2 linked regions of the Bombyx mori genome follow. The protein of the gene in region 1 purifies or fractionates together with the protein of each later gene. This does not show direct contact. Links are inferred from orthologs where the notes say so. Each region holds a gene or a part of one and is shown on either strand. Other genes may lie near its edges. The genes, in order: RNA polymerase-associated protein CTR9 homolog and transcription elongation factor B polypeptide 3.

The links.
Region 2: the proteins of RNA polymerase-associated protein CTR9 homolog (region 1) and transcription elongation factor B polypeptide 3 purify together in Homo sapiens (affinity purification with mass spectrometry; 4 studies listed by BioGRID and IntAct, with this or other methods). This does not show direct contact. The link is inferred for Bombyx mori from reciprocal best matches to the Homo sapiens genes CTR9 and ELOA.

The regions. Positions count from the first base shown.
Region 1 is NC_085129.1:3,976,509-3,980,898, forward strand, and holds the start of RNA polymerase-associated protein CTR9 homolog, read left to right. Parts: upstream 1-1,537; 5' UTR 1,538-1,745; coding exon 1,746-1,781; intron 1,782-1,861; coding exon 1,862-1,960; intron 1,961-2,798; coding exon 2,799-3,038; intron 3,039-3,112; coding exon 3,113-3,381; intron 3,382-4,159; coding exon 4,160-4,355; intron 4,356-4,390. UniProt on the Homo sapiens protein: Component of the PAF1 complex (PAF1C) which has multiple functions during transcription by RNA polymerase II and is implicated in regulation of development and maintenance of embryonic stem cell pluripotency.
Region 2 is NC_085112.1:7,690,609-7,694,957, reverse strand, and holds the start of transcription elongation factor B polypeptide 3, read right to left. Parts: upstream 2,943-4,349; 5' UTR 2,598-2,942; coding exon 2,526-2,597; intron 1,304-2,525; coding exon 1,105-1,303; intron 893-1,104; coding exon 717-892; intron 1-716. UniProt on the Homo sapiens protein: SIII, also known as elongin, is a general transcription elongation factor that increases the RNA polymerase II transcription elongation past template-encoded arresting sites.

The sequences.
Region 1 (4,390 bases):
ACGCAGATGATACAGCTATAATGTCTGTTCATGACGACCCTACAACAGCTTCTGAAAACTTACAATCACATCTAGATGACCTTCAGAAATGGTTTAATATGTGGCGCGTTAAAGTAAACCAAAGCAAATCATCCCACGTTACATTCAGCCTCAGGAAACAAACCTGTCCACCTGTAAGCTTATATAACGAAAACATACCGCAAGCGGAAGATGCAAAATATCTTGGCATACATCTGGATCGAAGACTGACATGGCAAAAGCACATCTGGTCTAAGCGAAAACAATTAGACATAAGGCTAAGAAATATGTACTGGTTGACTGGAGGGAAATCCCAGCTTTCGCCAACAAGTAAAATTTTAATTTACAAAACCATCTTAAAGCCAATATGGACATATGGCATACAGCTTTGGGGAACTGCCAGCAATAGCAACGTCGAGATCCTGGAAAGGTTTCAAAATAAAACTTTCAGAACAATGCTAAGAATACCGCATTACATAAGCAACAAGATCATACAAATGGACCTAAATATTCCCACAGTGAAAGAGGAAATAGTAGCTTACAGCAAAAAATATCAAGCCAGGTTATCGACACACGTCAATAAATTGGCGTCGGACCTAGGAGGCACAGGAGCTGTGCAGTTTACTAGATTAAGGAGGCACAGTATACCTACCTTACACAACAGAAATTAAATCTAACAATAAAAGATGAAGGTGTCACTGGATATCTGATTCTGTTTATAAATCTATTAAGAATAAATTCAGCCAGAGGAATAGCTCATTGTTAACTGAAAAACAGATCGCTACGAGACATTAAAACATAAGAGAAAAAAAAAAAAATTAATTAGAGAAGTTAATATTACGACGGATGCGATGCTATATAAAAAAAAAATTAAAAAAGTTAATCAAAAGAAAATCAATTTAATATGTATAATGTGTGTAGCGCCAATAGATATGCTGTACTTGACTTTTGATTTTCTTTTGGACTTGAGGACTGTATTCTGTTAAATTAAAAGATGTTTATTTTTTGAGATACCAGTTGGCATGTGTATTCTGAATTAGCAATTTTACAGTTTTATATGATGATGGGGTCAGGGAACAATATTTTTATCCAATAGCAACCGCACACGTTCCTAGCGTGATAGCGTCACACACAGCTCGATTATAATTGGTCGCGAAAATTTATACAATAATACCAATATAATAATACTAATGACAAAATACAGATACGATAATTTCACGGATCGAGATCCTCAGCATTGCAGATGCGTGAACAATGTCTAATGTACAAACTAATAAAACTGAAAAAAAAGATCTTCCGAGAACTAGCTTAGGCTAATATAAAAGTTAAAGACAGGTTTGTGTAAGTGAGAGAGATTTAAAGTGAGTGATATATGTATACTGAGCTAAATGATCAAGATGAAAAAATAAATTAATTGACAGACCAATCAATTGAATTGGATCACTGAGCTAGTGATCTAAATGGGCTAGTGAGCTAGATGAGTGATATATATCTTTAGAGTAAAATGATATATGTTCTATGATTATACTAATCTGTGCTCAACAGGATTATGTTGTAATATGTTGGCCTAAAGGTCTAGAAACCAGGCCACAAACTCCAAAAAAAAAAAAAAATTTTTAGTATGTTGTACATACACAAAAAACGCGATAAATATACGTTTTGGTAAATTTTAGTTAGCAAACTAGTGAATTTTGTATAATGAAGTAATTAAAAATAAAAAAATCAAGATGTCGCTGGAAATACCTTTAATGAGCACCGACGAGGTGAAATAAAAACTCTAATTCAGTTTGGCGTTTAAAAAGTGTTCGTGTAACATTTTTATATTAATATTTGATTTCTTTAGGTGATTGACCTGGATCCAGAACAATTACCTTCCGGCGATGAGGTGCTCAGTATTTTACAACAAGAACGCTCACAACTCAATGTTTGGATTAATGTTGCAGTGAGTTAACCTAACCTCGATATTATTCTATTATGGGAAAATAATCATAGCAGACGAAAAAAATTAAAACTTTATACCAATCACAACGTTGCAAATACATGAACTAATATAAAATGCAAGAAAATCTTTAATTAAAAAAGGTTTTTCAACTGTAAATGATCATTTAACAATTAGTTGAGTAAATATGTTTACAAAGAACTTTCACAAATTACTTTACCTTAAACTTATAATGTCAGTTTTAAATATAAACATTAACTGCAATTTTCTTCGTTCTTTTAGACTTACATCAAAATATGTTAAATATACAATCATAAAATAATTTCACACTTATGATACATAATTCGGAGTACACATTTTCATTATTTTTATTGCCTACAATTATCGTAATGGGGGTGTTAGATATTATGAAGCAAACACTGCCAACATGCTGACATGTGTGTCAGCAGTGTAAATGTCACAAAAAATTTGAAAGTATGACTACGTCATGGGAATAGGCAGCTTTGTGGTATCTTATGGGTAGACAATGCACCCTATGAATATATGAATAAATATGCAAATTCATAAAAATTATGGTTATCATATTAATAATTTTATTACACAATATAATTTCTTCGATATGTATTTGTATACATACATCAGGTGGAATTTGATATGATCTAATGTAGTTTGTTGTGGTTGAAATTAATAAAATAAATAATAAAAAGGAATTTGTACAATTTGAGTTTCGGGACATTCATATTTATTATTAACCTGTTATATAATAAGAAACAGTTGCTCTGCATCTTAAGTGTGACTGACTTTATGCTCCAGTTAAAAGTTTTCAACTTTTTATGTTTAGCTCGCATATTACAAACAAAAGAAAATCGATGACTTCCTCAAGATCCTGGAAGCATCACGTACAGATGCCAACATTGACTATCGGGATTTCGAAAGAGATCAGATGCGGGCTCTCGACATGTTGGCCGCATACTATGTGCAAGAAGCTAACAAAGAGAAGTCAAAAGATAAGAAAAAAGAACTATTTACAAAGGCAACATTATTGTACACTATGGCGGATAAAATTATTATGTATGATCAGGCAAGTGAAAAATAATGCATCAGTTAATCATTGCTAATTGTCGCTTTATTTTCTAATAATGTGAAATGTTCCAGAACCATCTTCTTGGTAGAGCATATTTCTGCTTATTGGAAGGTGACAAAATGGAACAGGCTGATGCTCAGTTCAACTTTGTCCTAAATCAATCCCCAAATAATGTGCCTTCATTGCTCGGTAAAGCTTGCATAGCTTTCAATCGTAAAGATTACAGAGGGGCACTTGCTTTTTATAAGAAAGCACTTAGAACAAATCCAGACAGCCCAGCCGCTTTGAGACTGGGTATGGGACATTGTTTTATGAAGCTGAATAATCAGGAGAAAGCCAGGTATCTATATCGTAATAATTATGGCTTGTCTGCAAATTCTGATTTTGGATACTGGAGGTCCTGGTCCATTACTGCTATTAAGAAACTGTTTCAGTTTGAATAGCAGAGTAACTTAATCCTTTGCACTTGAGATTTCGAAGTATTTGTTTATGTGTAACTTGTGATCCCATTCATGTCAAATATGTTAATTCACCAGCTTGGGCTTTTAGACATATTTGCATATCAATAGAAAACTGTGAATAAGCTTTAAACAAAAGTTTCAAATCCAATCATTTCCATTAAAAGTTAAAGAAATACCAAAGTGAAAAACAGAAAAAGTCCCTCCCTATGGCATATTGCAATGAGTATTTGGACATATAACCCAAGCAGGCGGTATGTCGTAAACTTATGTTGTGTCATGACATATCAACGCCCAATGCCGCATGATAAGCGGTCATGCCGTCCCAACCTGACATATATGGTATAAGAGGAAAAAGAAGTGTAATTTTGATCAAAAGTCATACAGTATATCTGTTGTAGTGTTTACTGGAGCCCATATCTTAAGACATGAGATTGAAATCTCTATTATATTGTATGAACAAAACTAGGGGTACTACATTGCATACAAAAAAAAAGAAGTACACACACATATATATATATATATATATATATAGTTTTAAAGCATTGTAGAAATGGTGACCTCTTGTAAAGCGCACCACCACCCCAAATGATGACCACGACCACTCTGTCAAGAGTGCAAAAGACTGAGAAGAAGAAATAATAAATATATTTATTGCAGGATGGCCTTTGAAAGAGCTTTACAATTAGATCCACAATGTGTAGGTGCTTTAGTGGGACTTTCCATTTTAAAATTAAATCTGCAGGAGAGTGAATCAAACAAAATAGCAGTTATTATGTTGTCTAAAGCCTATGCTATTGACCCAAAAAATCCTATGGTTCTAAATCATTTGGCCAATCATTTTTTTTTCAAAAAGGTGGGTTGTTTGCTGTTTGCAATAAACTATTTGTA
Region 2 (4,349 bases), on another chromosome or scaffold:
TGATAGCGTAGTTTTTATCAAAATACAAATAAAACGAGTTAGAAGAAAACAGACTTCAACTTATTTTATCTATATTACATTATATACCACAACATCCTGTTCTCTGATACACCAACCTCAAATTATTGGTTGGTCAAAAGTTGTAAGGTTGACTAAAAACTACATTAAATTGGAGTTTCATATTACATATAACTTCTCTAAGCATCCACTTGAGCAAATTAAATAAATTAAGTCCTTCATATACCTAATCTATTCTACACGACCAACACCAATGTTAATTTAAGCAAAATGAATTTAATTATGCAAATGGCATGGACGATTTTGTTTAAACAGTATTTTTGATGACACAAATCTACACAGAGTGAAAGTAGCTTTATTATATTTTATGGTCTAGGAAAGCCGATTTTATTATGAAATCAAGCTATATTATTATATTACTCTATTATATAAAGTAACCTACACTTGTAATTTTTCCTCCCTAATCCTATTTAACAATCTGATGTATTTAGTTTGATTCTGAAACTACTTCCACTTAAGACATGGAGTTATAAAAACTTTAGCATTTTAAAAATCATGTATGTGTAACCTAACAACTATGCAATGTTATGTTCTTTCACTAGAAACAACCGGATTTTCAAAAAATTAAAACTATGACGTTTACCATTGTTTTATATTCCATTAACCTTGCAATTTTATAAAATATCAATAATATTTACCTCACTGCTATGGCTTTTCCTCTTGCTGCCACCATGGTGGCCATTCATATCTCTGTGAACTTGTTGATTTGTTTTAGGCGCAGTTGAAATGCTTTCCCGATGTTCAGATTGGTTTTTAGTGTATTGACTATTATCAGGTTCTCTATCTTTATCATTTCTCTGCCCATTGTGAGTGTCTGCCAAATTAGATCATAGCAAGTTTTCAAGTAGTAATGTAACAAGGCTACAGGAAAAATCATTTCAAGCTATAAGCAAATATAATAATCTTCCAGTATCTTACTTTTATGAAATTAACTGATAGTATTAGAAGCTATTAATGATAAAAAAAAAATTTTTAGCACCATCACAAAAAGTGGTAATTCATGACAAGTTTTAAAGAATAACTTACTTTCTGTATTTGACTCCCCCTCATTATCGCTTGATTCAGCTGCTACCATTGCTTTCCACTTGTAAACAAGAGCCCTGGCTGCAGGACCAACATCTCCTGGTTCTTTTCGTAATGCATTGACAGTCCGGCCTATACCTGTTTCTTGTAAGTGTTGAACTGTCACATCTAAGTGACTCAGTTTGTCTATGCATTTTAAAATCTAAAAAATAAAGATTTTAAGGTATTATAATATACTATTATAAGGTATACAGGTACAATATCTGGTTTATCACAAGTAATTTATTAGAGGTACTAGGAATTTAATAAGACAATACAAAGTTGTCTGTCCCTCTACAAACACTATTTGTTTATGACAAAGATGTAACCATTTTCCTTTATTGAGTAGATTCTACTTTTCTTCTTTTTCTTTCTTTTCTATTAACCCTATTTTGGACTGGATGGAATGCTTTAAGGCAGCAGCCTTGTCAACAGCGTAAGTCACTATGGGCTAATGACCATTGTTTTGTTTTTTAGCACATAATTACCATGTCTAATTTTAACAGATGCCATAGTTGTTAGCTTTTAACTTCATGCTGTGATAATTGTCATCTCTACTAACAGATTAAAAGCATTGAGTGACAAAAAATAAATTTTGTGCTGTTACAGAAAGTCTCACAAAAACAATGTCTTCGTTGATGCAATAACATTCATTACAATAAATTTGACGAAAAACAGTTGACCACAAATCAGTGTCTAAATTTTGGATCATACAATGAAAACTATTTTCCAAAAATTATATTGCCAAAGTTAGCTAACTTAATTTGAATATTTATTCTTCAGGTTGTTATTCTTATATTTTTATTTCATTACTACAAAACAATACATTTAATTGAAGAATAAATACTTGATTTCAACCGTTCCACTAGGATATTCAAGCTTAATAACTAACGTAAAGGGTTTACTTCTGGTGAATGTTTGTGTTTCATTCAGTCAATTAGATTAATAACTTTTTCGTGATGTTTCACATTGAAATACGATAAGTTATTAATCATTTGTTGCACATTGCCTTTTTATTGTTGATTAATAAAAGTTCAGTAGGGTTATTGTATATTTTTGAGGTCGAGTGCTGATGAATTATATTATATCTGATATATGATTTGCGTTCTGATAGTTATTATAATTATACTTGTATCTTATCTTTATGATTTGTAACATTTATAGTTTATTTAACGTTTTCCTTGTAAAAACTTTAAAGTTTGTCGGAGGACTTTCGTCAGTTTTTTTTTTACTGTATTCAGTATTGATAGCGTTAAAAGTTTCGTTGTAAAACCGTATGTCACCTCACTGCATAATTTGGGTTCAGTAAATATTGAATATATTTCCAATCGACTTCCTATTGCTGTGAAATTCATTAGTCTTCAATATTTGAAAACTTCACTTACTTTCGGTTCGTCGTGAGAATTCTTTTCCAGACTATGTTGGTAGTATTTAACTAATTCTAAAACAGACGCCATTCCAAATGTATATTACAACAAAAGGGTTGATTTTTTTCATCAGACAATGATAGCCACTGCCAGCTGGTAAACGGGCACCATTTTTGTCACTTTTTCATGCGTCAATGACGTTGACTGGTTTTTACCTTTTAGACGGCTTTGGTTTAGGTACTAGTTTTTTTTTGATAATTTTATGACTTGATAACGAGCCCTTTCGCCAAAGCCATTTTTCTTCTTATTTTCTGTTACAATATGAAAAATGATATGAAACGAAATGAGATGAAATTGAATAATTTGAGATGAGATGAATTGAATAAGATGACATTGGATGAATTAAGGTAACAGTAAAATAGTGGTTATTTTCTGAGTTTTTTCATAGGCCTTTTTGAAAGAACCCGAGAAGCTACGACTAGCGGCTTTGTTTCATCGATCACTGGCTCGATGTATCGCTACATTCGAATGCATCGGACCTCTTATCCTTTAGACCACGGCGACTTTTTCCGCGTTTGTGCGCTTTTGCGGATGCTAAACAGTTATTAAACTATATAGCTATTAGACATTTAAACCTGAAAAAGCACTAATTGAACAAAATAAAGCAATTCACATAATTTCGCTCCTCGCATTCGTAGCCAAAAGCTTTTTGGCTTGCTAGTGTAATCTACCAAAGACATTTTTAAATGTTTATTTTCTCTTGAATAGGTACAGAGTACGTTGCTCATACGACAGATCTTTTAAATTGTTTTATTGGCAAAAAGTGTAAAGAAATAGCATATGTTTAAACAGATTTTAAAAAGTGTTTGCTCTTTGACCGCAATGTACCGTTAAATATTTATTTATTTATCGTTTAGGCCACAGACGTTTACTGCTGGACATAGGCCTTCCCCAGGCCTCGCCAGAACGACAGGTCGTTGGTTCCCTTTTTGTGAGGTCTACCTACGCTACGTGTAATATTGCAGCAACGTACAGCTAACATAAAATTAAAGACGTTAAAATTGGCATAAACTTTGGCAAAGCAAGACTATGTTCCGAAAATATTCTAAGCAATTTGAAGATGGAGTTATTCTTCTATGTAATTTGAATGAATTCAAAGTAATTTGTCTAGATTTTAGTCTAAATACGTCAATATTTAGTTCGAGACAAAATCACCTTCGTTTTAAAGATTTTAGGGCCAGGTAACGAGACCTTTAAGCCAAGCCTTATATTATTTTCTTCTTAGATTAAATTGGTAATATGAAAAATGATATGGAACGAATAGAAGTTAAAGTTGTTTTATTTGAGACTGTAATTAATTGGGATAAAATGAAATGAAACAAAATGAGATGGGATGCAATATAGTCTCAGAAAAAATGTGGTTAATTATTGAGCCTTTTTCAATGGACTTTTTGGAAGAATCCGAGAAGCTACGTAAATAAAACAATCCACACAACTTCGCTCTTCGTATTCCCGCTAAAGTGTCCTAAAGAAGTATATACGGTAGTTAAAATACATGCATAATACACTTATTTATTGTGAAAAAAGAACCTACGAATAGATACATATGGGTAATTGAAATCTGTAATGTAAGTTTAATATTAAATTTAGAATCAAGTATTGCAGATCCGAATCAAACCGGTCTAAAATTTATCGTTTTCTACCTATCTCAACAACTATGTGGGATGGAGTTTTTCAATTTTAAATTTTCACGCATACCTACTTACTGGATTGTTGAGACGATGTTTGCTTATGAAAATTTTATCATTTCTGCTGTTTCACAAAAGTGTAATTTAGGAAATC